Anolis sagrei: one gene and its partners. Each later gene encodes a partner of the first gene's protein in a complex. Links are inferred from orthologs where the notes say so. Each region holds a gene or a part of one and is shown on either strand. Other genes may lie near its edges.

Evidence for each region.
Region 2: the proteins of RPS6KA1 (region 1) and SNTG1 are in contact, whole or in part, in a crystal structure (PDB 7PC8), measured with the Homo sapiens proteins. The link is inferred for Anolis sagrei from reciprocal best matches to the Homo sapiens genes RPS6KA1 and SNTG1. Residues at the interface, in NP_002944.2 of Homo sapiens: Arg728, Lys729, Leu730, Pro731, Thr733, Thr734, Leu735; in NP_001274742.1 of Homo sapiens: Gly67, Phe68, Gly69, Leu70, Ser71, Ile72, Lys73, Gly74, His78, Ile80, Ser85, His118, Glu119, Val122, Leu125, Arg126, Arg141.
Region 3: the proteins of RPS6KA1 (region 1) and MAGI1 are in contact, whole or in part, in a crystal structure (PDB 5N7F), measured with the Homo sapiens proteins. The link is inferred for Anolis sagrei from reciprocal best matches to the Homo sapiens genes RPS6KA1 and MAGI1. Residues at the interface, in NP_002944.2 of Homo sapiens: Pro731, Ser732, Thr733, Thr734, Leu735; in NP_001028229.1 of Homo sapiens: Arg480, Gly481, Phe482, Gly483, Phe484, Thr485, Val486, Val487, Gly488, Asp490, Lys499, Ser500, His532, Val536, Phe539, Gln540.
Region 4: the proteins of RPS6KA1 (region 1) and SNTG2 are in contact, whole or in part, in a crystal structure (PDB 7QQL), measured with the Homo sapiens proteins. The link is inferred for Anolis sagrei from reciprocal best matches to the Homo sapiens genes RPS6KA1 and SNTG2. Residues at the interface, in NP_002944.2 of Homo sapiens: Pro731, Ser732, Thr733, Thr734, Leu735; in NP_061841.2 of Homo sapiens: Gly82, Gly83, Leu84, Gly85, Leu86, Ser87, Ile88, Lys89, Gly90, His94, Ser101, Lys102, Phe104, His134, Val138, Leu141, Arg142.

Annotation. Positions count from the first base shown.
Region 1 is NC_090034.1:73,338,769-73,346,519, reverse strand, and holds the start of RPS6KA1 (ribosomal protein S6 kinase alpha-1), read left to right. Parts: upstream 1-4,744; 5' UTR 4,745-4,868; coding exon 4,869-4,949; intron 4,950-7,751. UniProt on the Homo sapiens protein: Serine/threonine-protein kinase that acts downstream of ERK (MAPK1/ERK2 and MAPK3/ERK1) signaling and mediates mitogenic and stress-induced activation of the transcription factors CREB1, ETV1/ER81 and NR4A1/NUR77, regulates translation through RPS6 and EIF4B phosphorylation, and mediates cellular proliferation, survival, and differentiation by modulating mTOR signaling and repressing pro-apoptotic function of BAD and DAPK1.
Region 2 is NC_090024.1:52,402,678-52,409,702, forward strand, and holds the start of SNTG1 (gamma-1-syntrophin), read right to left. Parts: upstream 3,004-7,025; 5' UTR 2,439-3,003; intron 1-2,438. UniProt on the Homo sapiens protein: Adapter protein that binds to and probably organizes the subcellular localization of a variety of proteins. May link various receptors to the actin cytoskeleton and the dystrophin glycoprotein complex.
Region 3 is NC_090022.1:35,422,847-35,429,822, reverse strand, and holds the start of MAGI1 (membrane-associated guanylate kinase, WW and PDZ domain-containing protein 1), read left to right. Parts: upstream 1-3,966; 5' UTR 3,967-4,341; coding exon 4,342-4,663; intron 4,664-6,976. UniProt on the Homo sapiens protein: Plays a role in coupling actin fibers to cell junctions in endothelial cells, via its interaction with AMOTL2 and CDH5. May regulate acid-induced ASIC3 currents by modulating its expression at the cell surface.
Region 4 is NC_090021.1:120,627,281-120,634,826, reverse strand, and holds the start of SNTG2 (gamma-2-syntrophin), read left to right. Parts: upstream 1-4,537; 5' UTR 4,538-4,988; coding exon 4,989-5,072; intron 5,073-7,546. UniProt on the Homo sapiens protein: Adapter protein that binds to and probably organizes the subcellular localization of a variety of proteins. May link various receptors to the actin cytoskeleton and the dystrophin glycoprotein complex.

The DNA of each region.
Region 1 (7,751 bases):
CTTGTTTTTGTTAAAAATGTAATACAAATGTCTGGCTGCTGATGACACGATAAATAAATAAAAATAACCAAAGTGGTATGTCACAACTATGGGAAAATAGATACTATTATGATTAAAATACCAAACAAAATCACAATAAACAATCAATTTGAGAAACAGCAAAACAACAGAATAGACAAATCAACCCAACCCAACTTAAAACACTTGGAGCAATGCCAAGGTTTTACCCTAGAGGCCCAAGAGCATTGGAAAATTGGCATCAGTTGTAACTTATTAACAGCAGCGGTAATATCTATTTCAAATGTTTTTATCCTGCCATTGCTTTTATGATCATATGCAGTAAATCAATAGAATGAATAGGCTTTAAGTTCTGCCAAGAAAACCTTTCTTATTCACTTTGGTAACAATAAGCAAGAGAAATACCCACTAAGCACACTACATCCATACTAATCCAGCCTTTGGCCTGCTGGGTGAAATGATGGGAGTGGTAGTCCACCGTCACTGGAAGAGTGCCAGGTTGGAGACGTTTGCATAATCATCTGTGTTTTATGATCTGTTTACCTGCTTCGTCTTTCTGGCACTGTGCTGAATCAAAGTGCATCAGGATTTCACTTGTGATTCAAACTGAGCTTCAAATGCTTGAATTCTCCATTATCGTTGTCAGGTGTATTGTCAATGTGCCAGTTTGCTAGAGATTGAAGCTTGAGATAATCCAAGCGATTAATGAAGGGGTGGAAATGGAACAGAACAGTTTCGTGCTTCTCCCCAAAGCTGTTCTGGGGTGCATTTGCAGGCACGTGTCTGTCCCATTAACTCAGTGGACGCTGGCCATTAACTTCTTCATAATACCAAGAATGACCTTGACAACTAGGCAACAGATATACTATCTGCCTTGTGCCTTTGGAGTAATTCAAAAGGAATGATTTGTTTTAAACTGTTTCCTCTATTTGCAGTTGACACACTTGACCTCTAGTTTGTTGATTTCCCAGCAGTTAAACCAGGGATCTCAGAACTCTTTCCAAGGATGATCTCTGTTATTGAGCCACAGTAAATCTGCCCCTCTTGGGAAAATTTATAGTTCATCAAGAGCACCGAAATAAATATATGATTTCTTCCTTTTCTTTTTTATTAAAAGCCCTTTCTGAAGGTTTGGAACTGGGCAAAGTTCAAGATCATCGAGAACGAAACAGTAGTAGCTATAACTCCCTAAAACTGTATTGCATCTTTTTTATGGTTGTTGTAGGCTTTTTTCGGGCTATATGGCCATGTTCTAAAGGCATTTTCTCCTGACGTTTCACCTGCTTCTATGGCAAGCATCCTCAGAGGTAGTGAGGTCTGTTGGAACTAGGAAAAAGGGTTTATATATCTGTGGAATGACCAGGGTGGGAGAAAGGACTCTTGTCTGTTGGAGCTAGGTGTGAATGTTTCAACTGATCACCTTGATTAGCATTTGATTGCTTGGCAGTGCCTGGAGCAATCTTTTGTTGAGAGGTGATTAGATGTCCTTGTTTGTTTCCTCTCTGTTGTTGTGCTGTTCTTATTTTAGAGTTTTTTAAATACTGGTAGCTAAATTTTGTTCATTTTCATGGTTTCCTCCTTTTCGTTGAAATTGTCCACATGCTTGTGGATTTCAATGGCTTCTCTGTGTAGTCTGACATGTTGGTTGTTGGAGAAGCCATTGAAATCCAGCTGTCCCCTGCCATGCATTGCTGTGACCCAGTCTGTTGATCTGGAAAATAAAGTAATGAGAAAGTGGTGGTTTCTAATATATGTAATTTCTTTATGCTTGTGGGTAAACAATATTTCTTGCTGTTTCTTTGTCAGTGTTGATGTGGAGAGTGTCTGGTTTGCCCATCCTGGAACATGCAATATATCATTGTCCTTCTTTAAGGGTCCCTTTGAAATCTATGATACTATATCTGTGTGTGTGTGAATCATATCTATCTATCTATCTATCTATCTATCTATCCATCCATCTATATCTATGGCTGGATGGCTCTTTGTCTGGAGGGCTTTGATTACGTTTTGTTGCCCTGATGAAGGGAGTTGGATTGGATAGCCTTAAGTATTTTCTGTTGGTCATGGGGGTTCCGTGTGGGAAGTTTGCCCCAATTCTGTTGTTTGTGGGGTTCAGAATGCTCTTTGTATGTGAACTTTGAATCCCAGTGACTACAACTCCCAAATGTCAAGGTCTATTTACCCCAAACTCCACCTGTGTTCATATTTGGGTGTATTGAGTGCTTGTACCAAGTTTGATCCAGATCCATCATTGTTTGAGTCCACAGTGCTCTTTGGATGCAGGTGAACTACAACTCCAAAACCCAAGGCCAATGCCCACCAAACCCTTCCAGTATTTGCTGTTGGTCACACAAGTTCGGCATGCTAAGTTTGGATCAATTCCATTGTTTATGGAGTTCAGAATGCTCTTTGATTGTGGGTTAACTCCCAAACTCAAGGTCAATGGCCACCAAAGGTCAATGCCCACCAAACCCTTTCTGTTGGTCAAGGGAGTTCTGTGTGCCATGTTTGGTTCAATTCCATCATTGATGGAGTTCAGAATGCTCTTTGATTGTAGGTGAACTGTAAATCCCAGCAACTACAACTCCCAAATGACAAAATCATAATTGTTTGAGTGATGGTCACTCCTTGGATTGTGAAACATTTTGTTGTCAAATTTGGTGTGATTTTGTTCATTGGTTCTTTTATTTTTAAGGTACTCATTATGCACAGAGCATTTATATATATATAGATAGAAGATAGATTGTTCTTTCATGGTTTTCTTGCATTGCACTACAAAACAAGTGCACTGTGCTGAGGAATTCATTCCATTTTTTCAAGCTGGAACCCAGCAGTCTGATTTGGTCCTTGGTTCAAAACGTTTGAGGACCCCTGCTTTCAGGAGTGGACTCCCCACTTTAAATCCCAAGGCTGCCTATTGCAGACTCCTGGGATTTGCTGGTGAGGGAGGAGCCTTAAAAATCCCCAGCCACAGAAACCCCAGGCTTGACTAAACTACAAATCCCAGAACCCTGCAGGAGACCCCTCTCTTGGAGGTTGCTGGGAGTGGCAGTTCAGCCTTGGGCTCCTGAGAAGTTCCTGGAGCTGGCAATTCGACCCCAGGGCCAGTGGCAGCCTTACCCTGGGGTCCCCCTTCTCCTCCTTATGGGGGATTTAGGGGGGTGGCAGTGCAGCTTTAGGCTTCTTCTCCTGGTGGATGCTGGAAGGTGCAGTCCAACATTGGCCTCCAAGATGAACTGAGCCACCTCAACTGGGCTCTACAGGCCAATGGATACTCCACCTCAGAAATCAGAAGAGCTGCAAGACCAAGAACAAGCCACGAGAGTCAAGATGAAGATCCACCCAGAGGAAAAGTGTTCCTGCCATACATCAAGGGAACCACTGACCGCATAGGGAAGCTGATGAGGAAACACAACATACAAACAATCTACAAACCCACCAAGAAAATCCAACAAATGCTACGTTCAGCAAAGGACAGAGGGATCCACTCACCTCTGCAGGAGTCTACCTTATACCATGCAGCTGTGGACAAGTCTACATAGGGACCACCAAACGCAGCATTGCCCAGACACGAATCAAGGAACATGAAAGGCACTGCAGACTGCTTCAACCAGAGAAATCAGCCATAGCAGAGCACCCAATGAAGCAACCTGGACACAGCATATTATTTGAGAACACAGAAATGCTGGACCACACCAACAACCACCATGTCAGACTACACAGAGAAGCCACTGAAATCCACAAGCATGTGGACAATTTCAACAGAAAGGAGGAAACCATGAAGATGAACAAAATCTGGCTACCAGTATTAAAAAACTCAAAAATTACAACAGCAAAACAACAGAGAGTAAACAATCAGGCACATCAATTCACTCTCAACAAGAGATTCCCCCCAGGCGCTTCCAGGCCATTGAATGCAAATCAAGGTGATCAGCTGAAACATTACCCTGGTCATTCCACAGATATATAAACCCATTTTTCCTACTTCCAACAGACCTCACTACCTCTGAGGATGCTTGCCATAGATGCAGGCGAAACGTCAGGAGAAAATGCCTCCAGAACATGGCCATATAGCCCGGAAAAACCTACAACAACCCATTGGCCTCATGGTTGCCTGGGCTGGGCGCCTCCTCTTGGCGGGAATCTGGAAGTAGCTCCAAATCTAGGCCCCGCCTGTGGGCGGGCAGTGGGCGTGGCCTCTCAGCCCTGAGCTATTAGGCCCCGCCTCTTGAAGGACTGTGGGTTGGCGCTCCAGCCTTAGGACCCGCCTCTGGAATGGCGGTGGGCGTGTCCTCAAAGCTGTAGGCCCCGCCTCTTGAAGGAATGTGAGCGTGGCGCTCCCCCTGTAGGCGAATGGTGAGCGTGGCCTCCCAAGCCGGAGCTTCTTGAAGGATAGTGGGCGTGTCCTCCAAGCCCACAGCCTTTTGAAGCGTCCTAAGCCTGAGTCTCTTGAAGGACTGTGGGAGTGGCGCTCCAGGTTTGAGATGGTGGTGGGCGTGTCCTCCAAGCCTTGAGCCCCTAGGCCCCGCCTCTTGAAGGACAGTGAGCGTGGCCTCCCAAGCTTGAGTCTGTAGTCCCCGCCTCTTGACAAAGGGTGGGCGTGGCTTCCCAGACTTAGGCCCCGCCTGTAGGCGGGCGGTGGGCATGACATCCCATGCCTGAGTCTCTAGGCCCCGCCTCTGGGCGGACGGTGGGCGTGGCTTCCCAGACTTATCCCCTCCTTCCAGCAGGAGTTCCGCACAGACGCTGCGGTCTGGCGGGAAGAAGAGAGCAGCTTCGTTCTCTCCCTCAGCTTCGGCGGGAAGACAGGCAGGCATTGCGGCTCCCGCTCGGAGGAAGAGGCCGCCGCGATGCCGCTCGCGCAGCTGGGAGCCGAGCCCTGGCCGGAGGGGAACATGGAGCTGGTGGACATGGAGCTGGACGAGGCCGAGGTAGGCAAGCACGGAGGGAGGGAAGAGGGGGCGCCGCGGACCCCCGGGAGCAAGGCCCCGCCAGGCCGGACCCTTCCCTCTCCTATCCCCCCTCCCTCCACCGTCATTAGAGTAACCCGACCCTCTGCATCGACCCTATCGATCCCTATCGTGTCCTTCCCTGTAAGAGCCCTGGCGTCCTCCTTGCCTGCCTACCTTCCTGGGTTTGGAAAGAGTTGAGCAACTGGAAAGCCTTGCCTGGCTCATTGAGAGGGGCAAGGAGCCCCCAGGTTACAAACAAGGGTTGTGCTTAAGTTGCATATGTACGTAATTCAGAACAGGTACATTTCTTCAAGGGTAACTCCAGCTAAACATACACACACACGCGCGCACACATATATATCAGGCATGGGCCAACTTTAACCCTTCAGGTGTTTTGGACTTCAAGTCTCACCATTCCTTACAGCCTCAGCCCCCTTCCTTTTCCCCCTCAGCCACTTAGGGGCATGGGCGAACTTTGGCCCTCCAAGTGTTTTGGACTTCAAGTCCCACCATTCCTAACAGCCTCAGACCCCATTCTTTTCCCCCTCAGCCACTTAGGTGTAACTCCAGCTAAACACACACACACACACACACGCACACATATATATATATATATCGGGCATGGGCCAACTTTGGACTTCAACTCCCACCATTCCTAACAGCCTCAGCCCCCTTCCTTTTCCCCCTCAGCCACTTAGGGGCATGGGCGAACTTTGGCCCTCCAAGTGTTTTGGACTTCAAGTCCCACCATTCCTAACAGCCTCAGATCCCATTCTTTTCCCCCTCAGCCACTTAAGTGTAACTCCAGCTAAACACACACGCACACATGGGCCAATGTGTGTGGCATGGGCCAATGAGCCCTTCTGGTGTTTTGGACTTCAACTCACACCATTCCTAACAACCTCAGGCCCCTTCCTTTTCCCCCTCAGCCACTTAGGTGTAACTCCAGCTGAACACACACACACACACACACACATATATATATATATATTGGGCAAGGGCAAACTTTGGCCCTCCAAGTGTTTGGACTTCAACTCCCACCATTCCTAACAGCCTCAAACCCCATTCTTTTCCCCCTCAGCCACTTAGGTGTAACTCTAGCTAAACACACGCGCACACACACACACACCTTCCTTTTTCCCCTCAGCCACTTAGGTGTAACTCCAGCTAAACACGCACACACACACACATATATATGGCATGGGCCAACTTTGGCCCTCCAAGTGTTTGGACTTCAACTCCCACCATTCCTAACAGCCTCAGGCCCCTTCCTTTCCCCCCTCTGCCACTTAGGTGTAACTCCAGCTAAACATACACACACACACACACATATATATATATCAGGCATGGGCCAACTTGAGCCCTTCAGGTGTTTTGGACATCAACTCCCACCATTCCTAACAGTCTCAGACCCCATTCTTTTCTCCCTCAGCCACTTAAGTGTAACTCCAGCTACATACACAGACACACACACATATATATATCGGGCATGGGCCAACTTGAGCCCTTCAGGTGTTTTGGACTTCAAGTCCCCCCATTCCTAACAGCCTCAGACCCCATTCTTTTCCCCCTCAGCCACTTAGGTGTAACTCCAGCTAAACACACGCGCATACACACACACACAAACACACACACACACACACACATATATATATATAGTGCATGGGCCAACTTTGGCCCTCCAAGTGTTTTGGACTTCAAGTCCCACCATTCCTAACAGCCTCAGACCCCATTCTTTTCCCCCTCAGCCACTTAGGTGTAACTCCAGCTAAACACACGCGCATACACACACACACAAACACACACACACACACACACATATATATATATATAGTGCATGGGCCAACTTTGGCCCTCCAAGTGTTTTGGACTTCAAGTCCCACCATTCCTAACAGCCTCAGGCCCCTTCCTTTCCCCCCTCAGCCACTTAGGTGTAACTCCAGCTAAACACACACACACACACACACACACACAAATGTATCAGGCATGGGCCAACTTGAGCCCTTCAGGTGTTTTGGACTTCAGCTCCCACCATTCCTAACAGCCTCAGACCCCATTCTTTTTCCCCTCAGTCACTTAAGTGTAACTCCAGCTAAACATGCACACACATATACATATGCATGGGCCAACTTTGGCCCTCCAAGGGTTTTGGACTTCAACTCCCACCATTCCTAACAGCCTCAGGCCCCTTCCTTTTCCCCCTCAGCCACTTAAGTGTAACTCCAGCTAAACACACACAAACACATATATATCTCGGGCATGGGCCAGCTTTGGCCCTCCAAGTGTTTTGGACTTCAACTCCCACCATTCCTAACAGCCTCAGGCCCCTTCCTTTTCCCCCTCAGCCACTTAAGTGTAACTCCAGCTAAACACACACAAACACATCTATATAAATAAAAATGTAATGTTCGTTTGTGATATTCACAGAACTCAAAAACCACTGGACAAATTGACACCAAATTTGGACATAATACATTAACAACCCAATGTATGTCCTTCACTCATAAAAACACCAAAAAACAAAAGTCCCAAAAAGCTAAATGATGAAAAGCTACATGACAATACAGAAAAAAAGGAAGAAAAGGAGGAAAAGAAAGGAAAGAAAAAAGGAGAAGGAAGGAGAGACGGAAAGAAAAAAGGGAAACAAGGAAAGAAAGAGGGAGCGAAGGAAGGTGGGAAGATGTAGAAAAGGAGGGAAGGAAAGAAGGAAAGAGAAAAAGAAGAAAAGAGAAAGCAGAAGAGGAAGAAAATGGGGGAAGGTAGGAAGAAGGGAAGGAAGGA
Region 2 (7,025 bases), on another chromosome or scaffold:
ATTATTTTATGCAGAGAAATTCATCTCTACAGCATCAAGCTACAGCTGCAAATGCTCTTTTTTAAATGTGCTAAGTGGAATACATTGAGATGACAGATAAATGCCTATGATTGGCTGCAAATCTGTTTAAAAAGCTGCTTTAAAAAGAAAGCTTTGCAGAATAAATATCAGAAGGAAGCCTAATGTAAAAAGGCAGTTTTCAGTTTGGGAGAAAAATATGGAGGGGAACTAGGGAAGGGGGAAGTTTGCGCAAATTCACAGAATATACCTTCTTCCTTTGTGGCTTCATTCCCAAGGCCATGTGAAAGAGAGTTAGGCAAGCGAGCTCATTTACTGAAAGAGGGCTCTGCAAATCTCAGTGTTTCCAGTGTGACAGATTTGTCACACTGATAGGTCTCGGGATAAAAGAACCACAACTCTTCAGGCCTGCCTCTTCTTCCTACAGATTTTTTTTTAAGCCCATGCATGTGCACAACACGGAAAATGAGAATCAGTGACTTTCTCTGTGTTGCTGTGAGTTTTCCAGGCTGTATGGCCATATTCCAGAAGCATTCCCTCCTGATGTTTTGCTTATATCTATGGCAGACATTGTCAGAGGTTGTGAGGTCTCTTTGAAATTAGGCAAGTGGGGTTAATATATCTGTGGAATAATGTCCAGGGTGGGAGAAAGAACTCTTATCTGCTTGAGATAAGTGTGAATGTTGCAATTGGCCACCTTGATTAGTGTAGTGTTGAAGGATTTCATGACTGGGTTGTTGTGACTTTTCCAGGCTGTAGGGCCATGTTCCAGAAGCATTCTCTCCTGATGTTTCACCTGCACCTATGGCAGGCATCCTCAGAGGTAGTGAGGTCTGTTCAATTTATTGCTGAAGGCTTTCATGGCCAGAATCACTGGGTTGTTGTGACTTTTCCAAGCTGTGGGGCCAAGTTCCAGAAGCACTCTCTCCTGACGTTTCACCTACATCTACAGCAGGGGTCCCCAAACTAAGGCCCAGGGGCCAGATACGGCTCTCCAAGGTCATTTAGCCAGCCCTTGCTCAGGGTCAACCTAATTCTGAACCAACTTAAAAGCACACAACAACAACAACAACAACAATCCTATCTCATCAGCCAAAAGCAGGCCCACACTTCCCATTGAAATACTAATAAGTTTATATTTGTTAAAATTGTTATTCATTTTTATTATTGTATTGCTTTTAAGTGTTTTTTGCACTACAGATAAGATGTGTGCGTAGGAATTCATTCATGTTTTTTTTTATTTCAAATTATATTCTGGCCCTCCAAGAGTTTGAGGGACTGTGTCCTGGCCCTCTGTTTAAAAAGTCTGAGGACCCCTGATCTAAAGCAAACAGCCTCAGAGGTTGTGAGGCCTGTCAAATGTATTCTCGAAGGTTTTCATAGACAGAATCGCTGCATTGTTGTGACTTTTCCAAGCTGCTGGGCCATGTTCCAGAAGCATTCTCTCCTGATGTTTCGCCTTCATCTACAGCAGGTATCTTCAGAGGTTGTGAGGTCCTGCATGGGCATACAGTCTGGAAAATTCACAACATTCAACCTTGATTAGCACTGAATTGTCATGTAGCTTCAAAGCCTGGCTGGTTTCTGCTTGGGGGAATTCTTTTTTGGGGGGTGGGGGAGGTGTTAGCTGCCCTGATTGATTCTTGTCTGGAATTTCCCTGCTTTTTTAGTGTTGCTCTTTCTCTGTGTTTTGAACACACTGTGCTTAGTGGGAATTTGGGACCACCTCCACCACAATCCTGCCAAGGGTCCTAAATGCCAAGGGACAAAGTCATACAGAGCACATTAGCAACATCAAAGGCAAGAAGAAAGAGCCACAATGTGGGGATCCCAACCCCCTGGGCAGTACATAACTGAGGCAAAGAAATCCAAGGGCGGGTGACTCAATGGGAGGTGGGGAATGTTTAGCAGATGAGTTCGCCTCTCTTGTCAAAAGCTCCAGGGAAACACAGGGTTTCAGGGACCTCAAGCTATTTCCAAAGCCAAGGCTTTAAAAGGCTCCTGGGTGCTGAAAGAAGAGTATGAAACAGAGCTGAATAGACAGTGCATGCCGACAATTGTGTGAGTGTGTGATGAGCGACTTCAGAAAACTGCAAGTCGCTTCTGCTGTGAGAGAATTGGCCGTCTACACCACGCCCGCATGTTTTGATGTTTTACCCTCCTTGTGGGAGGCTTCTCTTACGTCCACGCATGGGGAACTGGAGCTGACAGGGGGAGCTCATCCACACTCTCGGTCTTCAGTCCCGAGGGCACACTGTTTAACCCACAGTGCCAAAGGGGGCTCCAAACGACACCCATGACATAGATTCATTGCGCGCCCTGTACCCCAGCAAAGTCTCCTCATTAAAGGAATCAATCAATCAATCAATCAATCAACCTGCATCCTCGTCATGAGAGGCCGATCTCCCTCCCTCACTTACTTGCTGGCGGGCGCTGCAACGCCGGGCTCCTCAACTCCGTCCGAACCGCCTCTGGAAACTTATTTCCCTGAATTATTTCCAAGCCGAGTCAAGGGAGCGAAGCCGGGGCAGGAGGCGCCACCTTCTCGCCTCCCAGCGCGGCGTCCATGGCTCCAAAGCGGGTCTGGGAGGGGTGTGGGGGGAGGAGGGAATGGGTGGGTGCGTGGGGGGCTGCCAAGGGACTCCAAGAGACAGAGAAACAAACGGGGAGAGAGAAGCGGCGGCTTTACTTCGCGGCGTCCATCCGAAAACGGAAGAGGAAAGACGGATGGGGGGGGGGGGTGAGACAGCGAGGCTCAGCCTCTTAGCGGGAGGAGGACCGCGAAAAAGAGGGGCCGCGGCTCCCCACGCTGGCGACGTAGTCCGGAGGCGTCGTGCTCCATGGCTGCGGGCTTCGAGCTGGATCCAACGCCAAGGAGAGGCTGGGTCTCTCCCGCCTCGCCTCTTCCCACTGAGCGCGCCTCCTTCCTTCCTTCCTTCCTCCTCTCCCTCTCAATCTCTCCCTCTGCTGCCTCCTCCTCCCCCGGCAGCAGCAAGAGGAGGGGGCGCAGACGCGCGTGGCTTTGGCACGCCTGAGTCTCTGCAGGTGGAGCCGCCGCTCGGCGAAAGGAAACGCGGGGAAGCGCTTTGGGGGAAAGGGATGAGGACTCTTAGCCGTCCGCGAGGGAGAGCTTCAGCGGGAGGCCGGAAGTTTCCCGGGTCTGGAAGGCAAGCCCTCTGAGAAGCGCCTCAGTGTGAGTTCAGCTTCGAGAACAGAAGGCTGAGAGAAAGGGAGAGGAGAGCCATGTTTACATATGACACATAGAGGACGGGGCAAGCTTGCTTTCTGCCGCTCTGGAGACTAGGACACGGAGCAATGGATTCAGACAAGTGTCTCAGTGAGCTCTGTAGGTTCAGCTTCGAGAAAAGAAGGCTGAGAGAAAGGGATAGGAGAGCCATGTTTACATATCTCACATGGAGGAGGGGGCAAGCTTGGTTTCTGCTGCTCTGGATTCAAAGGGTAGGCAACTTCTTGAGGGTAAGAACTTGAGGGTAAGAAGAATATGCTGCCTAGCCTACCCAGAGTGTGGTGGAGTCTCCTTCTCTGGAGGTTTTTAAGCAGAGGATGGATGGGCATCTGTCCGGAGCGTTTTAGTAGTGTGTCTTTTGGGGTCTATTCCAACTTTTATGTTTCTACTAGAGAATGAATCCACTTTAAATCCGGTTTCTGCCTTCTGCAAAATTCTGGGTTTTATAGTTTGGTTTAATTTACACACACACACACACACACACACACACACCCCGCGTGGCACACTGGGTTAAACCGCTGAGCTGCTAAATTTGCTCCTACGGGAAGATAACGACGCTCCATGTAGTCATGCCGGCCTCGTGACCTTGGCAGTGTCTACAGACAACGCCGACTCTTCGGCTTAGAAATGGAGATGAGCACCAACCCCGAGAGTCAGACACGACTGGACTTAATGTCAGGGGAAAACCTTTACCTGAAACTGTTAAAGGTTTCTCCTCGGAATTCTGCAGGCGGCAGTAACCGGATTTAAAGTGGATCCCTTCTCTAGTGGGATGAGGCCCTAGGGCGCCACTGGCAAGCACCCAGTCCAGAGCTGGGTGCTTGCCGACCAGCTCAGGGTTTCGGAGGAAGGAACTGGGGGGAAAAAAACTCCCGAGGCTCCCTGACCGAGAGAGATTCGCCACAAATCCAAGCGGGTGACTTGGAATGAAAGCAGACCTCCGGCAGTCAACGCGGCTTGGAAGAGCTTCCCCGTCGCCCTCCCCGCTGCGCTTGCTTTGCCCGTTGGAAGAAGCGTCCGGCTGCAAGGAGATCTGCAGGGAATCAAAAGCAGAAGCGACACAGAAAGCGAGCCCTGGCCAGCCCCAGAATTGCTCAGCTCACGAAGGGGAAGAAGCAGACTCGGAGCAAAGCCAATTCAGGACTTTGGCGTCTTTCAGAAGTCATGTGTTGCTCCAAGTTGGGTTCTCTTCCTGCAGTTCGAGGGATTTTTTGGGGGGGTGGGGGGCATCCGAGGGACGTGGGGTCCCTAGTACTTAGGTATTTCTTGGCTTCCAACGAGGAAGGGGAGGAGGAGGAGGAGGGAACCGGACTTTAACAGGGACTTCACAACATCGCTGGAGAAAAGATCCTACATAAACCCCATTTTCCTAGTTTCCAACAGACCTCACTACCTCTGAGGATGCCTGCCATAGATGCAGGCGAAACGTCAAGAGATAATGCTTCTGGAACATGGCCATACAGCCCGGAAAACTCACAACAACACAGATCCTACATTTCTGACTCCCAACAGCCCCTATTCTCTCCCCTTTCCCAGAGTACATCCGAGCCCTCCCGAAGATCCTTTGGTCATGATTTGGACCCCAATTCCTGATTTGGGACATTCTCACCGAATCAGCTTGTCCAGCGAATAGTGGGTGACAGCGAGGATCAAATCCCATCCCAGGAGGAAAGGAGGAGTATACATTCAATAAAGTACTGAAATGCAATGCCACCCCGGCTCATCACCCCAGCCCTTTTCCAGATTTCAAGCCAAAGGGAACATTGGAAGCCCTCGAGCAAGGGAAAAGTGTGTTGTCGAAAGCTTTCGTGGCTGGAATCAGTGGGTTGCTGTGAGTACGAGCTGTATGGCTATGTTCCGGAAGCATAGGAAACGTGTTTGATCACTGAGCCTGCAGGATGAAGTGCTGAACTTAAAGCCAAGACAGTTCTCAGTGGTCCATGAGCGAGAAGCACAAACAAGAATCACTACAACACAACAGTGTTTTCTTGCATGGCGGGGGTCGGACTAAGTGGCCCTTGTGGTCTCTTCCAACGCTATAATTCTGATCTTTAAAGAGAAGCACTCCCACTACAAGGACCTTGGACCATCCTTGCTTCTCCTCTTCCACTCTCCTGCTGATGCTGATGACAACATCATCCCTGCGCATTCAGAAGAAGACCTTCAAGCCACTCTAAATACCTTCACAGAAGCATATGAGAAGCTCGGTCTGTCATTGAACATTGAGAAAACCAAAGTGCTCTTCCAGCAGTCACCAGCCAATCCCTCTCCAATGCCAGAAATCCAGCTTAGTGGTGTAACATTAGAAAATGTTGATCATTTCTGCTACCTTGGCAGCCATCTCTCAACAAAAGTCAACATTGACACTGAAATACAACATCGCCTGAGCTCTGTGAGTGCAGCTTTTTTCTGAATGAAGCAGAGAGTGTTTGAGGACAGGGACATGGGACATCCGTAGGGTGATTGTTTATAAAGCTATTGTCCTCCCAACCATGCTAAAGGCCTGCGAGACGTGGACTGTCTACAGATGCCACATGCAACTCCTGGTGATTCCATCAGAGTTGCCTCCGGAAAATCCTGCAAATCTCTTGGGAAGACAAGAGGACAAATGTCAGAGTGTTGGAAGAAGCAAAGACCACCACCACTGAAGCGATGGTCGTCCGCCATCATCTCCGCTGGACAGGCCACATTGTCCGGATGCCCCACCATCTCCCAAAGCAGTTGCTCTATTCCAAACCCAAGAATGGAAAATGGAATGTTGGAGGGCAGGAAAAGAGATTTAAAGGTGGGCTCAAAGCCAACCTTAAAAACTCTGGCATAGACACTCTGGCCCTTGAGTGCTCTAGCTGGAGGTCAGCTGTGACCAGCAGTGCTGTAGAATTTGAAGAGGCACAAATGGAGGGTGAAAGAGACAAACGTGCCAAGAGGAAACCAATACTCTCACTGCGGGAGAAGATACAGATCAAGAATAGGGCTCCACAGTCACCTAAGGACCCACCAGTACACTGACCTTGAAAGACTATCCTACTCGGTCAACGAGGGATCACCTAACTGGGAACCAAACCCTGCTATATCTACCTGCTTAACAATGACTTCTGTGCCTCAAGCAGACAAGCGTTCTTTCCCCCACCCTGGACATCCCACAGATAGATAGACAAACCCCACTTACTTTGCTTCCAAGAGACCCCTCAACCTTAGAGGATGCCTGCCATAGATGTGGGCAAAACATCAGGAGAGAATGCTTCTGGAACATGGACATTCAGCCCGAAAAACTTACATCTGACATCTGTTTTATAGTAGGACTGGTGGATTTCTGTTAGCAGCATTTTGTTTTCCTTGGGCCCCAAAGTGAGAGAAAGATGGTGTGAAACTCAACCATTAAAAAAAACTTAAGGCCAGAACCAGCCTTCCCATTAAGCAGAACAAGTCCATGACACTGTCCTCTTCTGCAAGGCCTTCTTTGTCGCACATGCCCAGCATCCCATCACCCTTTTCTCTCCCCCTCCTTCATAGATTGTTACCTCCCTTCTTTGCAACTTTCTGTCTCCCACTATCACCATCCTTCCCTCCCTGCTCTATTCCAAGCAGTGCCACTTGCAACAAAGCCACTTCTCATGTTGTATGCAGAGCTGCCATTATTAGGAGCGGAAGAGTATCAGAAAAGTGGAAGAGAAGGGCTGATCCAGGATCTCTCTTCCCAGTCATCACATTTCTCCCCTATTTCCAAGTCACTGCTTCCTCATTTCTACTCCTTGCTTGC
Region 3 (6,976 bases), on another chromosome or scaffold:
TAGGTTTATTCATATCATGATCTGATCACCATGCTCAATATATCCCATATGCATGGGGGTATTGGGGTAATGATATAAAAGGTTTGCTAGGGTAGACCCTCTTTCACTCAGACTCAGCCCCCCCCCCGAACCAAACTGAACCCCCCCCCCCCCTGAAACAAAATCCTGGCTACGGGCCTGCCGGCAGCTGCAGAAAGACTTGCTGACCAAAAGGTTGGCAGTTCAAAGCCGTGCTAGCTCCTGCTAACCTAGCAGTTCAAAAACACATAATGTGAGTAGATCAATACATACCACCTTGGCAGGAAGGTAAAAGACACCCATGCCAGCAAACTTGACCAGGATGGTCTACGGACAACAGGCTCCTTGACATGGAAAATGGAACAAGAGCATCTCCCCATGGCCAGAGTCCAGCATTGCCTCCAGATGCTGGAGATGGAAAGGGAAACTTTTGCCTTTGATTGTGTATTGTATGTCATTGCTTACTATATAAAAGGTGTGCAGTCTTGGCTCTGCCTTCTCCTCTCCTCTGCTTTAGTTTCCTCTGTTTATAGGCCACCACAATATTCTAACTTCCTTTGTATTAGTTTTTGGGTGGAGCATAAAAACCCCTAGTGACCAGCCTTAGTTGGTCTATTCCATTTCCTGTATAGAGCTCCTTTGCTGGACTCCTCCTTTTTTCTGCAGCAGAGAACAGTGGCTTGGGACATTGTCTGGTATCCTAGGCCTGAGCAATCAAAACAGGCATTCTTAGCACCTGCTGCATTTAGCAGTATTTTTATACCAGCAGTCCAAAGGACAACAGAAGCTTTTGGTCAGCCTAAACTTCACAGGAGAGAAGATTAAGACAGACTGCAAGCAACAATTTATAATCCAGTGCTTTACACCAGAGCCAAAAGACTTTCAAAGATTCCAGAGAGTTGACTGCAGCCAGCAAAATCTCATTTTGTAATGTATTGTTATGATAGTCCCGGGTGAAGTTAACCCTTTATTCATCTTGTTTCAGTAAACACATTTGGTTATCTTTTCACCTTACCTAAAGTGCCTCTGTCTGCTAAGGGTCTTAATCTTAACCGAAGGTATATAGATAGCCCCCAAGTAAAGCCAGACAATATAGTTTTCCCAAAGGCTCGGGCATGCCATCACAAAAAGCATTGAATGTTTGCCTATATATGTGGATACTGTAATCTACTCCGAGTCCCCTCAGGGAGATAAAGTAGAATATAAATAAAGTGCATTATTATTATTATTGTTATTATTATTAGTAGTACCTATAATGGATTTTCTATATTAATGAAAACAATATGTACAGCACCACTTTTTTTCCAACCTGCATTGACCCTGCTGTAAGATTCATAGCAACTTTGAGGCGGGTATGGTTTTTTAAAAATCCCCTAAAAGCCACTTTTTTCAGGTTGTTCATGCCAAATAGATTTGCAACAGCCCTGGAAGAAAGGCCACAAAGCAGATGCCCCCCTGAACTGGATAAACTCATTCGAGTTGGTGTCACTTTGTGTAATAACACACAGTGTCACTCTCATGGACCTCCTCCCATATCAGACTGCACTACAATATTATAGGTAAAATGCCACAAAAGTTGACAAAATCAGCAACTATTAAAAAACCCAGCAGCAGCAAACACAACAGTGCATGCAGACAACTCCCTGCAGTTCCAAGTGTCATTGTAATTGGGTAATAATGACAGCCCTGCCTTAAGCACATGCGCATTAGAAAGTTCAAAAAGTAAATCAGCATGATGTTTTTTCCTTGTAGGGATATTGACAAGACGATAATGTAAACAGGGATCATGTGAAATGCTTTTGTGGCTATACCTCACTGAAGATAATATTTCTATAACAAATTATAACTTTATACTGCACAGTTTTTAAGAAGTCATTATGGTGTAACTAGGGTTGGGTGAACTTTGGAGGTCCTGAAAATATTTTGGTGCCAATTTATATATTTACTGTATTTTTACCCCACTCTATCTCACCCCGAAGGAGACTCCGAGCAGCTTCCAAGCTGATAATAATTCAATGCCACAACAAACAAAAACATATAAGAATAACATATACCATACATGAAAATCAGTTTAAAAAATCATTAAAAATTATGACAAATCAATACACTAAAATAAACTATTAAAACAACACAAGATCCAAAGTCATGATCCAGGAGTCATTCCAATTGTGTTACAGTCACTTCATGGCTGCCTCTTGCACTGTGCTACTCTTTGAAAGCTTGGTTCCACAGCCAGGTTTTTAGTTTACACACACACACGTGAAATATATACATATAAATAAATATAAACAATAAAAATAAATATATATCCAATATAAATAATAATGAGCTGTACAATAAAATAGTTTTTGGAATGATACAAATCAAATTGTAAGGAAACAATGTTTATTTTCATATACTTCTACTCTGTTTAAAAACTCTACAGAAGGAGACTTCCCCACGCTCCAAGGCAGCTTCTTCCACTGCCAAACAGTTGTTTTCTGGGAGAAAGCACCCGTGTCTGTTTTAGCTGAATGTTGCAATTGGCCACCTTGATTAGCATTGAATAGCCTTGCAGCTTCAAAGACTGGCTGCTTCCTGCATGGGGGCATCCTTTGTTGTGAGGTGTTGTTTCCTTGGTTAAATGTTGCAATTGGCCAGCTTGATTAGCATTGAGTTGCCTTGTAGCTCCAAAGCCTGGCTGCTGCCTGCCTAGGGGAATCCTTTGTTTGGGAGGTGTTAGCTGGCCCTGATTGTTGGGAAGTGTTAGTTGTTTCCTAGGAGAAAGAACTCTTGTCTGTTTTAGTTGAATGTTGCAATTGGCCACCTTGATTAGCATTAAATAGGCTTGCAGCTTCAAAGCCTGGCTGCTTCCTGCCTGGGAGAATCCTTTGTTGGGAGGTGTTCAGTTGTTTCCTGGGAGAGAGAACTCTTGTCTGCTTTAGTTGAATGTTGCCATTGGCTAGCTTGATTAGCATTGAATAGCATTGAATAGCCTTGCAGCTTCAAAGCCTGGCTGTTTCCTGCCTGGGAAAATCCTTTCTTGGGAGGTGTTTAGTTGTTTCCCGGAACACAGAACTCTTGTCTGTTTTAGTTCAACGTTGCAATTGGCCACCTTGATTAGCATTGAATAGCCTTGTGGCTTCAAAGCCTGGCTACTGCCTGCCTGGGGGAATCCTTTGTTTGGGAGTTGTTAGCTGGCCCTGATTGTTGGGAGGTGTTAGTTGTTTCCTAGGAGAAAGAACTCTTGTCTGTTTTAGTTGAATTTTGCAATTGGCCACCGTGATTAGCATTAAATAGGCTTGCAGCTTCAAAGCCTGGCTGCTTCCTGCCTGGGCGGAGGGAATCCTTTATTTGGATCCTGTCCATTGGGATTGATTTTCAGTGTTTAATTATTGTGATTTTAAATTGTTTGATGTGCTTATTTATATTGTTTTTTGTATTTTATTTTTATATTTTATTGTCGCTGTATGTTGTTTATTTGCATTGTTGTACCCTTGGGGACGGCGCTCCATGCAGTCATGCCGGCCACATGACCTTGGAGGTGTCTACGGACAACGCCGGCTCTTCGGCTTAGAAATGGAGATGAGCACCACACCCCAGAGTCAGACATGACTGGACATAATGCCAGGGGACTACCTTTACCTTTACCTTACCCTTGGGGAGATGTTGGCGGGGTATAAATAAAGTTTTATTATTATTATTTGGGAAGTGTTAGCTGGCCCTGATTGCTGGTTTCCTGTCTGGAATTCCCCTCTTGTTCTGAGCGTTGTTCTTTACTGACTGTCCTGGTCTGAGAGGTTTTGTTTTTTTTCTTCATTCCTGTCCAGGAATGAAAAGGGAGCGCGGAAAAGCCTGGGAAGAGGAGGAGGAGGAGGAGGAAGAGCCTGGCTGGGAAGGGAGGCGGGGAGTGCCCTTGTGCGCATGCGCCACCGCTTCCTATCGCTCGCCTGCCCCCCCCCCCCTCTTGTCTCGACGAGGAGCGCAATGTAACAAAACAAGAGTCGGCTTTGTCGGCGCTTAAAGGAGCCGCGGCGGGTCGGGGCCAGAAGAGCCGGGCAGGAAAGAGAAGAAGAGGTGGCCAAAGTGGCCCAGAAGAAGAGGTCGGGGCCAGAAGAGCGTGGGAAAAGCGAGCCGAGGATTACAGTTCGGGAAAGGAGGAAGAAGAAGAGGGGAGAAGGAAGGGACCGCGGGGAGCCAAAGCAGCATGTTGTTGGAGGAGGCTGCGGAGAGGCGTCGGGCAAAGTTTGCGCAGTGATGGCTTGAAGGGGAAAGTTCTCCCGGGAAGGCTCCCCCGTCTCTCTCGTTCTCTCGGTCTCTTTCTCTCTCTCTGCCTCGCTGGCCATGTCGAAAGTGCTCCAGAGGAAGCACCACTGGGCGGCCAAGGTGCACCAAGTGGCCATCCGGCGCCGAGGGGCCCGCCTGGGCTTCACCGTCCTGGGGGGCGCCGAGCAGGGCGAGTTCGCCTACGTGGGCGGCCCCGACGGCCAGGAGGAAGGAGCCGGCGGGGAAGGAGAAGGCGAAGGAGGAGAAGCAGCCCCGCTGGGCGAAGGGGAGCTCCTCCTCGAGGTCCAAGGGCTGCCCGTCTCCGGCCTGCCCCGCTACGACGTCCTGGCCCTCCTCCGCAGCTGCAAGGAGCCCATCCTCCTCAAGGCCGTCAGACAAGGTACACGACCCGGCACCCTCCCGTTTGGCTCCCTCTCTCAGCCCGCGTTACATGATCCCGTGTGGGTCCGGACGGTGTTGAACTCTATGTCAGAGTAGATGGGGCTCGAGGTTGCTCTTTCCCTGTGCTTGCCTCAGGCGCTGCGGTTCCTTGGGCGGCAGTCCCCCCTCTCTCGTGGGACCCTCAAGACGGATGCACTTTGAGTTAATGTGGGTTTTCCGGGTTGTATGGCCATCTTCCAGAAGCATTCTCTCCTGACGTTGCTCAATTGCAGGATTCACACTTCCCCTCTCATGAGTTCTCTCTTGAGGGTCTCTCATGGGACAAATGCAGCTTGACCCCTCTTTGGGTTGCTGTGAGTTTTCTGGGCTGTGTGGCCATGTTCTAGAAGCCTTCTCTCCTGACGTTTCTCCTGCATCTATGGCAGGCATCCTCAGAGGTTGGGAGGTCCATTGACCAGGGATTCCCCCAGGCAGGAAGCAGCCAAGCCTCAAAGCTGCAAGGCTATTCTATGCTAATCAAGGTGCTCAATTGCAGGATTCACACTTTCCTCTCATGAGGTGGGAGAAAGGACTCTTGATTATTGGAGGCAAGTGGGAATGCGGCAATTGATCCCCCAGGCAGGAAGCAGCCAAGCCTTGAAGCTGCAAGGCTGATCTATGATAATCAAGGCACTCAATTGCAGGATTCACACTTTCCTCTCATGAGGCGGGAGAAAGAACTCTTGACTGTTGGAGGCAAGTGTGAATGCTGCAATTGATCCCCCAGGCAGGAAGCAGGAAGCTGCAAGGCTATTCTATGCTAATCAAGGTGCTGAATTGCAGGATTCACCCTTCCTACTCTTGAGTTCTCTTTTTGGAGTCTTTTGTGGGACCCCTTAAGACGAATGCAGCTTGACCCCGCTTTGGGTTGCTGTGAGTTTTCCGGGCTGTATGGTCCTGTTCCAGAAGCATTGTCTGCTGACGTTTCGCCTGCATCTATGGCAGGCATCCTCAAGATGAATGCAGCTTGACCCCCACTTTGGGTTGCTGTGTGGCGATGTTCCAGAAGCCTTCTCTCCTGACATTTCTCCTGCATCTATGGCAGGCATCATCAGAGGTTGGGAGATCCACTGTACTGGGATTCCCTCAGGCAGGAAGCAACCAAGCCTTGAAGCTGCAAGGCTGATCTATGTTAATTAAGGTGCTCAGATGCAGTATTCACACTTCCCTCTCATGAGTTCTCTTTCGAGTTCAGTCCCTTCTCTTGAGTTCTCTCTTGAGGGTCTCTCATGGGACCCCTCAAGATTAATGCAGCTTGACCCCACTTTGGGTTGCTGTGAGGCTGTATGGATTCCACAGAACTGAGCCAAGGCAAGTAAAGTTGGGTCAATGTGTTATTGAAGCCTTCAACAATGTGTTGTTGAAGGCTTTCATGGCTGGAATAACTGGGTTGCTGTGAGTTTTCCGGGCTGTATGGCCATGTTCCAGAAGTATTCTCTCCTGACATTTCACCTGCATCTATGGCAGGCATCCTCAGAGTGTGTGAGGCCTGTTGGAAACAATGCAAGTGGGGTTTATATATCTGTGGAATGCTCAGGGTGGGAGAAAGAACTCGTGACTGTTGGAGGGAAGTGTGAATGCTGCAATTGATCACCTTGCTCACCTTTACTCTCATGCCTTGTTCTTGGTCTTGCAGCTCTTCTGATGTCTGTGGTGGAGTATCCATTGACCTGGGATTCCCCCAGGCAGAAAGCAGCCAATCCTTGAATCTGCAAGGCTATTCTATGCTAATCAAGGTGCTCCACTGCAGTATTCACACTTCCCTCTCTTGAGGGTCTCTCAAGATAAATGCAGCTTGACCCCACTTTGGGTTGCTGTGAGTTTTCCACAGATATATAAACCCCACTTGCCTAGTTTCTAACAGACCTCACAACATCTGAGGATGCCTGCCATAGATGCAGGCAAAAATGACAGGAGAGAATGCTTCTGGAACACAGCCATGCAGCCAAGAAAACACAGCAACCAGTAATTCCACCCATGAAAGCCTTCAACAACACACTGACCCCACTTTACTTGCCATGGCTCAGTTCTGAAGAGTCCTGAGAGCTGTAGTTTAGTCAGTTACTGGCACTCTTGGGCAGAGAAGGCAGAAGACCTTGTCAAAACTGCAGCTTCTCTGATTCCAGAGCATTCAAGTGGTGCCAAACTGCTTACATTCTACAATAGTGCTGCACCTTTATTTGTTTGTGTGGCTTTGCATTCCTGGTGTCTTCCTCAATCACCATGGGGCCTTGGGTGGCAATTTTGGGCCTTTCCATGCAGACCGTATGCC
Region 4 (7,546 bases), on another chromosome or scaffold:
TGGCCGGCCCAGCAGAGTTGATGTTGGAGGACCATCACTTCAATGCTGGTGGTCTTTGCTTCTTCCAGCACACTGACGTTTGTCCGCTTGTCTTCCCAGGAGATTTGCAGGATTTTCCGAAGGCAGCGCTGATGGAATCGTTCCAGGAGTTGCATGTGACGTCTGTAGACTGTCCATGTCTCACAGGCATATAGCAGGGTTGGGAGGACAATAGCTTTATAGAGAAGCACCTTGGTATCCCTACGGATGTCCCGGTCCTCAAACACTTTAGCGTTTATGTAGAGGCAGTGAATACCACACTGTTATGAATGCATAACTCCAGGTTATGCATTCATAACTCCCCAACAGGATTCTGATTAAACTAAATAGTATTTGGTATGTTTGGCACAAAATCAAATAATTGACAGAAAACAAGAATGGGGAAATTTCAGTGGGTTTACTCTAGGAAGAATTATCCGTTCAGTTTAGACCAATACTTAGAAGTATTCCTTTGTTGTTAATTAGGCTGTAGACAAATAAATTTGCACATTTCTTTATGAGACTCTGGGCACATCCATACAGGGTGGAAAATGTGTGCCATTCTGGATTTTTATGTGGGGAATCCAAACAACACCTCACGTAAAAACGCATTAATTTGCCACAAAGCAGGAAAACCCTAATGAAAAAAAGGCAACAAGTGGTTTACCATTGCCTTCTTCTGATTAACAGGATGGTACTTCAATATTCATAACTGTGGCCAGGTTTGGGAATAATGCCTATGCAAATAACATTAATCAGATTTTCAAAATAGTGGCTTCTGATATATTTTTAGTGGCAGTTTGCAGGGGAAATTGAATTACAGTATAACCCCCCCCCCCCCCCCAATATCTGTTGTACCAATATCCATGGTTTCATCTATCCATGTCCAACAAAATGTCCATGTCCTTTTTAGACATTTTCTAATTTCCTCCAGCATGACTCTATAGTATCCTGCAGCTGAAAGTCCTTTTTTTCATTAGGGTTCACTATTATCCACAGTTCTGTATATCCACATGAAGTTTGGGAACATATTCCTTGTAGATACAGGAGGCACACTATACAGTATTTGATTTCAATTAGTTATTGTGAAGCAATAGCAGGATACATAAAGGCCAATTCACAAGGACACATATACATATTTACTCAATGAATGGGCTGGAGTCACTAAAATTATTACATTTCAGCTAATGACATACAATATGAAAGGGGGGGGGGTACGGCAACAGTCATCCTCCAGATGTCTTGACCACAGCTTCCCAATAGTGGCAGCCCCCCAAAACACACATGATCCTAACGCTCTATCTATGATGTTCAATCTGACAGGGTGGTTTTTATTCATCAAGTGTCAAGCACAAACTCATCCTTCTTAATAATTAATTCCATGTATGGCCCATCTCTCCTTCAAACAGTTAAGCTTTCTTTTACTTAGGACTATTTTAACTGAAACTTTCAAAGCACATCCACAATGCAATTTCAAGCAAGTGTCATTTTCCAATCTGTTCCTCGCATCTCCCCAACCTCCTCTCCCCCATCCATCCTTCTAATAGGGAATTATAAGGGATGAAATTTTGTGCAAGAAAGATGCCTCGAAGAATGACAGGTTTTTACATTTTGAAGTAGTTTTGCCCTCCTAAAATATGAAGACCAGATTGCTTCACACTGAAAGTAATAGAATCCCTTCTCTGAACTGCTTGAGGACCAGAAATGTTTAGGATTTCAGATTTTAGAATACCTACATTTGCATATATATACATAATGAGATATCTTGGAGATGGGCCCCATGTCTAAACATGGAATTCATTTATGTTTTATATACACCTTATATACACCTAGCCTGAAGGTAGTTTTAAGCCCAATTTGTTTTAATTATTTTGTGCAGGAAACAAAGTTTGTGTACAGTGTACAAGAAAGCAAACATGTTGTTATTTTAGCCACCCATGAGGACAATTGTCAATTTTAGAATATTTCTGAATTCAGAATTCTGGATAAAGCATGCCTGACCTCGTTATGTTTCAATGTGTTTTTTTTTGGTTGGGTTTTTTTTTTTTTGTGAAAATCATGCAGGTGTGTTTCAGTGTGGGCTTGTGCACCACAGAGGTGATTTGAGGATGAGGGAAATTGTGAGGCTTCTTCAAATCTCCATGCTGAAGGGTTCTAAATGGCAAACTGTCAGAGTTTGTACCCACACCAATGTATACACGTTTATAATATATATACACATGTATATATGCATGTAGATGAGGCCTACAAAACGTGTGGCCCTCCGAGTGTTTTGGGATTCAGCTCCCAGAATTCCTGGTCATTGGATAAACTGGCTAGGGTTTCTGGGGGTTGGAGTCCCAAATACCCATAGGATGAGATGTATATGTGTATGTGCGTGTACCGCATTTCTTTGATCCTAAGGCCCCTGACGACTAGCACTGCTCATTCGCTTCTGCTAGCTTCCCACTACACGGCGGGGATACCAACTTCCCCTGCAACTTGTAACCTTACTTTCTGGATAACTACCATAGTTTGCCCTACAGCCAGAGAGCACAACGAACCCCACCAATGATGTATCTAGAGCAGTGGTTCTCAACCTGTGTGTCCCCAGGTGTTTTGGCCTACAACTTCCAGAAATCCCAGCCAATTTACCAGCTGTTAGGATTTCTGGGAGTTGAAGGACAAAAGATCTAGGGATCCACAGGTTGAAAACCACAGGTCTAGAACAAACTTGCCCAACATAACAAACTTTAAGTACTGATGGAATTTTTCAGGGCTAACCTAGCATGATATGAGTTGTAGTTCACACACAACCTTATTCATTTTGTACAATTAAAAATAGACTTTTTCAAATAACCTGGGCAACGCTGGGTATCCAAACTTGTATCTTAAATAAATAATAATGTTTTTTTTTAGGTGATCCCTAGTTGTCTGAGTAGGATAGTCTTCCAAGATCAGTGTACTGGTGGTGGGTCTGTAGGTGACTGTGGAGTCCTATTATTGATCTGCATGTTCTCCGGCAGTGAGGGCATTGGTTTCCAGATAGAAGGGGTCCTGGTCAGGGTTGGCTTGATGTGCCTTCTTCTTGGCACATGTCTCTCTTTCGCCCTCCATTCATGCCTCTTCAAATTCTGCAGCACTGCTGGTCACAGCTGACCTCCAGTTGGATCGCTCAAGGGCCAGGGCTTCCCAGTTCTCAGTGTCTATGCCAGAGTTTTTAAGATTGGCTTTGAGCCCACCTTTAAATTTCTTTTCCTGCCTGCTAACATTCCATTTTCTGTTCTTGAGTTTAGAGTAGAGCAACTGCTTTGATAGATGGTGGTCGGGCATCTGGACAACATGGCTGGTCCAGCATAGTTGATGGTGGAGGGTCATCGCTTCAATGCTGGTGGTCTTTGCTTCTTCCAGCATGCTGGCATTTGACCACTTGTCTTCCCAAGATATTTGCAGGATTTTCCAGAGGCAGCACTGATGGAATCATTCCAGGAGTTGCATGTGACGTTTATAGACTGTCCAAGTTTCACAAGCGTGTAGCAGGATTGGGAGGACAATAGCTTTATTTTTTTTAAAAAAATAATTCATTATTGAAGTTTCCTTATAATAGGGAGAAGTGTTGGGTATGGATATGGAGGTGAGGGGAGGGAGGGAGGGAAAAAAGAAGAGGGAGGGAAGGGAGAAAAAAAGAGGGGTGTGTGGATTAAGGGTTGTGAAGGGACAAGGGTGATGTGAAGGGGGGGGGGTGGGATGTTGACTTCCCAATCTTCCTTCCGATGTTCCTCTCTTTTCCTTCTCTTTATTTGTTTCTTCATTTCTAATTGCGGCTCCTCTTCCTGTCGAATATTTCCCCTTAATGTTTGTTAAGATAAATTTTCCAGTACTAATCTTCCAGTAAGACTCTGGTTCTTCCTTGTTTTTATAGGTACTCATAAACAACAGCTTTATAAACAAGCACCTTGGTCTCTCTAGGGATGTCCCGGTCCTCAAACATTCTCTGCTTCATTCAGAAAAAGCTGTACTCGCCGAGCTCAGGCGGTGTTGTATTTCAGTGTCAATGTTGACTTTTGTGGAGAGGTGGCTGCCAAGGTAGCGGAAATGGTCAACATTTTCTAATGTTACACCATTAAACTGTATTTCTGGCATTGGAGAGGGATTGGCTGGTGACTGCTGGAAGAGCGCTTTGGTTGTCTTGATGTTCAGTGACAGGCCAAGCTTCTCTTATGCTTCTGTGAATGTGTTTAGAGTGGCTTGTAGGTCTTAGTAATAATAATGTGAATGGGTGTATGTACAATGTGTGTGTGTGTGTGTGTGTCTCCCTCGAAGTGGTGTGTGTGTCTTCACCTCACATAGTAGACCCTCTTTCCTTCAGAGAAGGCATGGGCAAACTTCGGCCCTCCAGGTGCTTTGGACTCCAACTCCCACAATTCCTAACAGCCGATAGGCTGTTAGGAATTGTGGGAGTTGGAGTCCAAAGCACCTGGAGGGCCGAAGTTTGCCCATGCCTGCTTCAGAGCGTCCACATGTTAACCCCCCTGCCCCCCGAGGAGAGAAGCGCGAGAAAGCGCGCGAGAAAGCAGATCTGACTAGAAACAGGGGGGAAAGCAGCAGCATCCTCCCAAGGGAAGCGCGAGGAGGAGGAAGAGGAGGAGGAAGAGGAGAAGTTCAAGAGGGAGGTCCGCAGCCTCCCTCGCGCTCTCCTCGCGCGCGGACGGACCCTGCCAACCTCCTTTCCATCCCCACCTAGCGTTCCCTCTTCCTCCTCTTCCTCCTCCTCCTCTTCAGTGAGCGAGGCACGCGTGGAGCAGAGGCAGGAGAGGATGCTGGAGAGCCCTGCTCGGCCCTAATTCCTGGCTCTCCTTCTCTCTCTCTCTCGGAGGGAATCATTGCGTTTGTTACTTCTAAGGGAGGCGGGGAGGGAGCTTCAATGCCTGGCCCGACTCTAGCCGAGTTCGCCGATCAGAAGGGACTCTAACCCAGCTGCATGGGAGGACATGAACGTGGCGGGGAAGCCGTCTCCTCCCCCTCCTCCGGGGCAAGCGCCGGACCGGCCCGACAGCCTCCTCGTCCCCACTTGGGCAAGTAGCTTCTCTCTCTCTCTCTCTCCCAATCTCTCTCTCTCTCTCGGGTGCTTCCTCTCCCTCTGGGTCTCCCCTTTCCCCTGCTCTTCTGGACGCTTGTGTCTGCCGTGGCTCATGGCCGGGGAACCTTCGGAAGAGGCGCCTTCAGCAAAGCCAGTGCCCTACTCCTCGCCTTGAGCTGGGGCACTTCCAGCTGCATCCATGCCCGCCTTTGCCCGCCCAGACCTCCTTCCCTCCTCGGTTGCTCGGGTTTGGGCTTGAAGGAAAGCTTCTCCAACTTATAGAGAGGGAGGAGGAGGAAGAGGAAGGGATTGCTCAGGGATGAGGACTTGGGTTTTCCTTTCTGAACCGAGAGGAAAAACCCCTTCTGAATGGAAGCATCTGCTGCTCTTGTTGCGAGGAGACCTGCATTCAAGGTCCATCTGGCAGGAGGGAGGGGAGAGAGTTGTGTCAAGAAAAGTTAGCCTTCTTGGAAACTGACTTTTTGCTTGGAGTGCAGGTTGCCCTTCCCTGGCACTGGTTCATCCATATCTAGCTATCTGATCTATCTGATCTATCTGTCTACCTATCTATCATCTGTCTATCTGCAAACTTTGCGTTTTGTTTGTTTGTTTGTTTTTAATGCAGTACAACTGTTTGGTTCGCTCCTGATACGATAAATAAATAAAATCTGTCTATCTAATCTATCTACCTGATCTATCTATCTATCTAATTTCTATCAATTATAACCTGCCTATCTAATCTATCCAACTAATCTGTCTATCTGATCTATCCAATCTCTCTGTCTATAATCTGTCTATCTAATCTATCTATCTATCTATCTATCTATCTGATCTATCTATCTTATCTATCTATCTAAGGCTGTTAGGAATTGTGGGAGTTGAAGTCCAAAACATCTGTAGGGCTGAAGTTTGCCCATGCCTGATCTAATGTATCAAATCTATCTAATCTATCTATCTATCGATCTATATCTGATCAATCTATCTAATCTATCTATAATCTGTCTAGCAAATATATCTTTTATCTAATCTATCTATCTATCTATCTATCTATCTATCTATCTGATTTATCTATTCTATTCTATCTATAATTTGTTTATCTATCTAATCTATCATTCCATCTGATCTATCTATGTAATCTTATCTGTAATCTGTCTATCTAATCTATCTTTTATGTAATCTATCTATCTATCTGATTTATCTATTCTATTCTATTTATAATCTGTTTTATCTAATCTATCTTTCAATCTAATCTATCTATCTGATCTATCTAATCTATCTAATCTATCTATAATCTATCTAATATATCTATCTACTCTGTCTATCTGATCTATCTAATCTGTCTATCTATAATCTGTCTATCTAATCTGTTTAGCTGATCTATCTCTCTATCTATCTATCTGTCTGTGTATCTATCTTATCTATCTATCTAAGGCTGTTAGGAATTGTGGGAGTTGAAGTCCAAAACATTTGGAGGGCTGAAGTTTGCCCATGCCTGATCTAATCTATCAAATCTATCTATGTAACCTATCTGATGTAATCTATCTATTTACTCTATCTAATCTAAATCTATCTATCTATCATCTATCATTCCATCTTTGTTTGAAGGAGGCTAAGAAAGATTAGGCAGTCTTCAGTTTTCTTTCCCTGTTCCAGAGCTTCCCTTTCCCACCATGAGCTTTTCTTTCAGTCCTGCATGGGTGCCTCTACACCAGGCATGGGCAAACTTCAGCCCTCCAGGTGTTTTGAACTTCAGCTCCCACAATTTCTAACAACCAATAGACTGTTAAGAATTGTGGGAGTTGAAGTCCAAAACACCTGGAGGGCTGAAGTTTGCCCACGCCTGCTCTACATTGTAGAATTATTTATTTATACCACAAAATGGACCTGACTATGGCCTAAATAAATTGATACCAGATAGGGTTTTTAATCTTTTGAATGTTTAATTGTGTTTTTTGTTAGTCACTAATTACGTTGATGTCGGTTTTTGTAATTTTTTAATTAGATATGACTGTGTTTATGACGGTGCTGTCTACTTTTATTGTATGTTATGTTTTTGCTTTCTATATGTTGTTCACCGCTTTGAGTCCTGAACCAGAAGAAAAGCGGATAGAAATAAATAAATAAATAATTTATCTCCCCAAAAAGGACTCAAAGTGGCTTAACATAAAAGCATCAGCATAACATTTTAAAGATATACAAATATACGGACATTAAAATAGGCTTAAATATATAAGTATTATAAAATTCCCACTTAAAATTCCCAGAATTAATACAGTTTGGCATCACTTTGACTTCCATGGTTGAGGCATCATGGGAGTTGTAGTCAAAGGAGGCACCAGCAATCTCTGACAGCCAAGGCTAAAGACATTCTAAAACTTCAGCTCTGATGATTCCATAGTATTACGCTATTAGCTAAAGTGAGGCCAAACTGCATTTATTCCCCAGTGTAACTGCTCCCTCTCTGTATGT